Linked DNA regions of Ovis aries. The protein of the gene in region 1 purifies or fractionates together with the protein of each later gene. This does not show direct contact. Links are inferred from orthologs where the notes say so. Each region holds a gene or a part of one and is shown in the gene's direction. Other genes may lie near its edges. The genes, in order: MKI67 and interferon-activable protein 203.

Region 1 (3,818 bases):
CAAGATTCCAGTCCCCGTTCAGAAGTCACGGAAGAAGCTGTTTCAGGAGGGCCTGTGGCCCATGGGGAAGACGTCACGGCCACACACGCCACGTGGGGGCGCTGGGAAGACGATGTGGCCAGGAAAACACCCAGTCGTGTTCGTTCCTCAGAACTTCCTGGAGATACCCACAGAGGTGCGACGGATCCCACCACTGGGGACTCGAAAGAAGATCCCAGTGTAGCATCAGGGGCCTGTCGTGAAGAACCGAAGGCTCTTTCTTCCATACAGTATCTTAAAAGGAGTGACCAAAGTGAGTCTCCCTTTAGGAAGCTTTACGAGTCAATGAAAGTGGAGTTAGATGTGAACCCAGGAAAAGTCAGCGTTCTGCAGAATCGCAGAAAATCAGGACCGCAGCGTCACTGCACAACAGGCAGAGAAAGCACTGATGGGTTACAGCACGAGACTCTGGTCTCCCCCAAATCCAGATGGAAGTCGGGCCGAAGCCCCCACATGAAGGCAGACCCTGGTTTAGGGGAGCAAGGAAGTAGCCAGACTGAGGGAGAGGGGAGTGGGGAGCCGGTTCAGATGCCCAAGGAGCTCAAGAGTCCTGGCATCGCCTGCACGGAGACGGAGACAAGGAAAACCAGGACCCCCGTGCAGTGTTCACAGCAAACCACGATGCCCCTGCGGTGTTCACCACACAGCCCCTCCCGGAGGCGGCGGAGTGCAAACCCGGGTGCTGGCGGTGGCCATGTATCCCAGAGTCTAGACCAAAGTGAAGGCTCCAGGGCAGATGACCAGATGTTCACTCCCCAGAAGTCCTTGCCTGAAAATCAAACACCTGTTAAAGTTGGGAGTTTTGGAAATACACCAGAAAAGCTTTTCTCTAGAAAGAGGAAGAGTGTGCCTGCAAATGTTGACCGTCTGACTGCAGAAACTGAGATTCCACCTCCGATGATCTCAGCTTCACTGGCCCTGCAAGTTGAAAGGAAGATTCAGAGTGATCTTCTCAACAAGCCTGAGAAGCTGGGCCCAGCAACTGGACAAGTGGGCCCTGGGTTATCCGGCCTTGATGCAGCTGAAATCAGCAGCTTCGGTGATTCCACAAGTAAGTCTATTTAACTGTCCATTTATTTCCCCCCCAAAGTTTACACCTACCTTGTGTCTAGATGTGAATTAGCGGTCCCTTCCTTCATTCGCTAATGATTCGCTCTGTGAGACAATAAGGGACTATCATAAGAGCCGTATTCGTCATCATAGAGTTATGTGAAAGCCCTGGTAACCCACCAACCAGAGGAGGTGCTGGCTACTAGGGAAGAATTAGCAGGGGTCTAAGGAGATAGGGTGGCCCCAAAATATATTTGATTCTTGGGAGAATAAGCTTGAGCATAATTGCTTTTCATAGGAGTTCAGTTCTGAACTACAAGCTCTTATATCCTATAGGTTGAGCCTTTAGAATAAGCAGTGGAAATCTTGGAAATCTTTCCATGGGGGGTGGTTCCTAGAACACCCTTGGACCGCCTCCATGGGTTTATGTGCCAGGCGCTGCTGTGGGTGCCCTTCAGACAGTGGCTCCCCAGCCTCCGTGTTGGCATAGGTGGGCCAGTGGGACAGGTGTCGTATTCTCTTCCTTCTGCAAGTGGGGAAGCCACCTGATGGCATGCTGCAGGCAGCAGAGATGTGACCCGTGGGGCAGGCGATGCAGCTCAGGAGCCTCCCGCACTCCCAAGGGGACCCCAGGTGCTCAGAGGCTGTGCCCGGCTCACAGTCCTCAGGGGGTACCCCTGGGTGCTCAGAGGCTGTGACCAGCTCACAGTCCTCACGGGGACCCCCGGGTGCTCAGCGGCTGTGCCCAGCTCACAGTCCTCACGGGGACCACCTGGGTGCTCAGGCTGTGCCCGGCTGTCGGCTCTGCATCTGCAGAGAGCCTATGGGGTGGGGTGTGTGGTTCTGAAATCAGACTCACGTGCATGACTTCATGGTGTTCCCCATGAGTGTCGCAAATGGGGCATGTCGCTTAGACAAGGGTTTGTGTTGATGAGCAGTTCACAAAGGTGTGTAGTTGGGCCTGCCTGTCCAGATCTCTGGGAAAAGCTTCCAGCCCCTGGTTCCACTCACAGGCAGGTCTGGGTGAGGCCTGAGTGAGTCCCTTGGGAAAGCCTACTCAGTCCACTGCTGGAGCTCATCGCTGGCATCCCCCTGGTCCACAGTGGGGACCACTGATCAGGGAGCTCACTGCTGGCATCCCTCTGGTCCACAGTGGGGACCACTGATCAGCCACGCCCTTCTTAGGCTCTGTCCGCACAGGACTTGTCACCGTGTAAACAGAGTCCTTACATTATCGCGTTGGGCCTTGGCATTTTGTGGTTTGTCCTGGATCTTTCATTAGCTTCATCAGCATCAGGAGAGTATGAAGGTGGGGAGGTGCCAGGCCTCGGTGAACTTGAGGTAGGTTTGTCTTTAATGGTTAGTGGAAGCGGGTCGCACTCGGGGCGCGGTTTGCTTTGCACTCTGACACCTGTGCCCATTCCTCCAGATAAGATGGAGGGCGTGGCTGCGAAGAGGAGGCGGGTCTCCTTTGGGGGTTGCCTGAGACCCGAATTATTCGATGAAAACTTACCTCCCAACACACCTCTCAAAAGAGGAGAGACGCCAAAGCAAAGACGGTCACTGGCCGCCCACACGCCCACCGTCCTGAAGAAAATCATCAAGGTGAGGTTCCCCGCGGCCCTCCCCCTGGGGTCTGATGATGGCACACATCCTGGGTCCACACTCTTTCCAGGGGCTTCCCTGGTGGTTCAGCATAAAGGATCCGCCTGCAGTGCAGGAGACCTGGATTCGATCCCTGGGTCAGGAAGATCCCCTAGAGAAGGAACTGGTAACCCACTCCACCATTCTTGTCTGGGAAATCCCACGGACAGAGGAGCCTGGTGGGTTACAGTCCATGATGTTGCAAAGAGTTGGACACAACTGAAGTGACGAACACTTTTTTTTTTACTCTTTCCAAAACTCACACTAGTAGAATAACAGTGAAGACCTTCTTTCAAATAAAGTAAAAAGCATCAATGTCTCTGTGAGAACGCATTCCCAGAGGTGTTGGCAAATGGACCCCTGAGTTCTGAACCACAACCCAAGGGTGGCTGAGCACAGGTGGGTCCTCAGGACCTCCCTTCTCTGCAGAGGCAGCCTGCTGACCACACTTCTGGGCCAAGTGGTCACGCTCGGGTTATAGTTAAATACCATTTGGAAAGACAGAGCTGTAAGATTGTGTTCTTTCCCTTTTAGAACGACTAGGTGAAAGACAGAGCTTGGATGGCAGGCACACCATGGTTTTGACCATCAGCTCTTCAGAATTCTTCATCACTGACCCTTTAGGGGTGTGATCTTGTATATCTCTAGAGAGGTGTGCCCCCCAGCCCCCAGCTCCACTTCTCCAGAGGGCCTGGGTAGTCTGTAATTTCTTTTCATTTCAGTTAATTTTCTTTTCCTGTTGCTATAGGAGCATGAGGTATGTCTCCTTCCCACCTCTTTTGTATGAGCCCCGGAAATGGGCTGAACCCACCCTTCCGGTGGGTTTGGAACCCACGCTGACCCGAGGTGGTTAGACTCCCACGGAGGGTGTTTCCTTGGATATAGATCAGAGCCCCACTCATCAGGAAGTTCCTTCCACCTTTCCACTGGAAATGCCTCAGTTAAGACTTATTCAGTGCTTACTTTTCCCCCTTCTTTTTAAGTGAGAGACACAGACTCCTATCTCCACTGTACGCTTGACAGACACTAGTCGGAGCAGTCAGTGCTTTGAGATTTACACAACTAAAATTGTTGAGTGGGTAGGG
Region 2 (3,818 bases), on another chromosome or scaffold:
TGACCACAACCATGAAATTAAAAGATGGTTGCTCCTTGGAAGAAAAGCTATGACAAACCCAGATAGCATATTAAAAAGCCAAGACATCACTTTGCTGACAAAGGTCAAACCTATGGTTTTTCCAGTAGTCATATACAGATGTGAGAGTTGGACCACAAAGATGTCTGAGTGCTGAAGGACTGATGCTTTGAAATTGTGGTGCTGAAGAAGACTTTTGAGAGTCCCTTGGACAGCAAAGAGGTCAAACTAGTCGATCTTAAATGAAGTCAACCCTGAAAATTAATTGGAAGGACTGATGCTAAAGCTGAAGCTCCAGTACTTTGGCTACCTGATGCAAAGAGCTGACTCTTTGGAAAAGACCCCGATGCTGAGAAAGACTGAGGACAGGAGAAGTGAGCAACAGAGAATGAGATTAACTAGAATGAGTATAATTAGAATCTAGTAATAAAAAGTTGATTTTCTAAGTAGTGAAGATGTATTTCATTTCTCATTGAAAACTACTAACCAGGCAGGGGAAATCCTACTTTTCAGAGAAAGAAAACCACCGAAACTAGTGAATCTAAGAGGATGAAGCTAACCAAGGAGGAGAGTCAGCTTCCAGGATCATCAGTAACGAGCACAGAGTCAACTAAGGGCCTTCTCCAGACTCCTCAAATGCCTTCACCAAAGCCATCCAGCAGTTCCTTAACCAAGGTACCATTTTCCTGTTCCTAATACGTGTCCCTCCTTACAACATATTATAAGAATACTCATGACCCCGAAAAAAATCTCTCAGTATTCCCTTTCTAGATACAAACTTCTTTATGCAATCAAATCACCCCAAAACTTATCAAATAAAATATTGAGGCAAATTAAATAAATGAATTAAAAAAGTGTTGAGGTCTTAGTGTGTTCTAAGTCCTTGGACTTTTGGACATTTTTACATTTACGAATAATTGCTGACCTTACAAATGTGACAGGCCTATGGAGGTGGCCAGGCAATTAGACAGGAACATAAGGGTATGTTTATCCCCAACATTTCGGTTTCCTTTCATCCCTTTTCTCTTAACCACACCTCTAGATTAGTTCTCAGCATTCTATGCTCCTTCCTATGTCAGGTATTTGCTCATAGGCTAATTCCTTGATTCACACTCATGATTCATGTTGCTTTAATGGCTAAATTAATTCAACCATCAGGTACCAGCCTGAATTCCTTCCTCAGCATGTCCTCACTGAGACACCCCTCCCCAAAACTTATAGATAGTCTCATTTTTTATCGCCGTTACAGAATCCTTTACTATTCCTGTATAGTGTGTATCACAACTTTAATAAATTTGTTTTTCTTCTCTTCTAGACAATGATCTTGGAGTATAGGTGCTCTATCAAAAGAGAATACAAGACAGGGGTGGGAAAGTGAGTCCACAGTTGTAGGCATCAACCTCTATCCCAACCTGGTTTTTATTTTGCCCTGGGTTACATGAAACCTGGAACTATGGAGTATGTGTCTAAGATGAATGGGCAGGAAAAGATTCCCCCAAGATAAGTGTCAAGGGTAGGCAAAGGCAAGATTTAAACCACAATCTCTAACCCAGTTTCTTACCCAAGACCCAAGCTGCCCTCTAACTCAGGCTATATCCTCACCACCACCCCGCACATTCCACTTGAAGACAGAACTCCTACATAAGGGGACTTTAAATTTGTGGTTTTGTTGTGGTTGTTGTCATTGTTCTTATTAGTCACAAGAGTCCATATTTTTCCCAGTAATATTTCTCAGAAGATCAGTAGGTTTGTAGAAGCCTATAGAATAGATACTAGAAACCCACTTGTGTCTTTTCTTGATGAAAAAGTCGTAGTTAACAGACATCCTTAAGTGCAGCCAACTTTAGACTGAGATTTACTTCTCTTATAGCCAGGGAAGTTTATCTACTTGCTTTGGCCAGTTTGCATCAGATGTAGGACCCAGATTCCATCCCCAAATCAATGAAATTTTGTCTGAGCTGTTAGTATTTGGAGAGTGAAATCTGTAATCATAGTTGAGGTAGGTAAAGGATAAGTAATACAGGTATTGGAATATGTGCTATCAGTCCAGAAAAAATTGAAAAGTTCAGATTCAACATTGAGAAAGAGAAAAGATGCTATATTCTGTGTGATTTTGAAAATCATTTTCAAGAACTAAGAAAAAAATCTATTTTTATCCAGAAAAAAAGTGACACAGCCACCACACCTAAGGACTTAAAAAGGAAGATGATATCTTGTAACCAGAGTCAGCTTCCAGGAACTTCAGCAACCAGCTTGTGCCCAACTGTGAGCAGTGGCCAGATGACTCCAATTGTTCTACCAAAACCATTCAGCAATTTCTCAAGCAAGGTACCGGCTTTTTGATCCCATTCCTTGCACTTCTTACAAGAGAAGTACAAGAATTATCATCATTGAACTTCCCATTTAGTCATTTATTATACTTACCCCTTCATTTATCAGTGTTTAATCTGTGATCCCATTCTATTCTAACTCCTTGTTAATTTGGCTGTTTACCAAAGCATGAGTTCATGAAACCTCCAATTTTGAGAGGTTTACTCTCTTGTATTGAATAGAAAGAGGAGGGAAAGGTGACAAAACAAGTCAAAATGAGTGTGTCTTTACTTCATACATTCCACTTTCCTTTGGCCCTCTTCCCATTTGCTCACTGACCACATGGCAGGGTTCATTTTCAAAGTCCGGTGCTCCTTCTCAGGTCTGATATTTTGACATAGACACTTTTCATGTTTGAAATTACTTGTCTTGAGTTGCAAACTTTAATCTCTTCCTAGGGCAAGTCCCCACTGATACCTGCCCACTCTCAGAATATATTAGGTATTCCTCTTGCTTGCTTTCAAAGGTCAGTTTACTTTCCCTTTTTTAGCACTTACTGAAACTATAATAAATGTACATTTTTCTTTGTTACTGAACTATAATATAAATTATAAGGTGCCTGTCAACTGAAAAAATCCACAACCTAAAAGTTAAGAATTATGCTTTATTCAGCAGACAAATATGAGGACTTAAGATGGGGACACAGATTCTCAGGTAGCTCTGAGAGAGCTGCTCTGAAGAAGCAAGAAGGGGAGGCAGGTTATACAGGAATCTTGTTAACAAGGACCAGGCAGTCAGAACATCAAAATGTTACTGTTTTTAAAGAGAACCTGATGTCTCAAGTTAAAATTTAACACATTTTTATATACAGAAAGATGCAAAGATCTGGGCTCACAGACCCTTTGCTATAAAGTTCAGCTATCTGGGGCCAGTATCCTTACCCTGAGTCTCCTGAGGGGGCGCCGTCAGGATTGGCTGAAGCAGTTGACTGCTTGCTGGAGGGCATTTTGCTTCTATCCTGAGTTCCCTCAGGGCTTACAGTGTGGGCAGCTGTAATGCGATGGCTTGATGGCCACAACATCCTCAGTTTACTGATATGGCAGGCAGCGTTTTTCATTCATAGTGCCCTATTCCCAGGATAAGACCAGATCAGGGTGGAAAAATGACACACACACATGTGCATCGACTCCTATGCTCGCCTGCCTTTATTCTGTCCTGATATGACCCTTGTGGTTACCATCACGCTGGGGTACAACACCTATTCCTGCAGCAAATAAGCAAGTGACAGGAGAAATAGGCCAAAGCAACATTTAAATCACGAAAATAGCTTGTCACCCAAGTTCCAAGCTGCCTAGGCTGAAGCCCTCTATACGAATCCAAGCATACCAGTTGAAGACATTTCTTTTAACATAATTGTTCAAGTTTTATCGTGTTACTGTTTTTATTACTGTTAACTCTGATAATTAGTAATGCCTCACGTAGTCTCTGTT

Evidence for each region.
Region 2: the proteins of MKI67 (region 1) and interferon-activable protein 203 purify together in Homo sapiens (affinity purification with mass spectrometry; 3 studies listed by BioGRID and IntAct, with this or other methods). This does not show direct contact. The link is inferred for Ovis aries from reciprocal best matches to the Homo sapiens genes MKI67 and IFI16.

The regions. Positions count from the first base shown.
Region 1 is NC_056075.1:47,010,177-47,013,994, reverse strand, and holds part of MKI67 (proliferation marker protein Ki-67), read left to right. Parts: coding exon 1-1,090; intron 1,091-2,518; coding exon 2,519-2,694; intron 2,695-3,818. UniProt on the Homo sapiens protein: Protein that associates with the surface of mitotic chromosomes and acts both as a chromosome repellent during early mitosis and chromosome attractant during late mitosis.
Region 2 is NC_056054.1:109,958,992-109,962,809, reverse strand, and holds part of interferon-activable protein 203, read left to right. Parts: intron 1-531; coding exon 532-693; intron 694-2,178; coding exon 2,179-2,346; intron 2,347-3,818.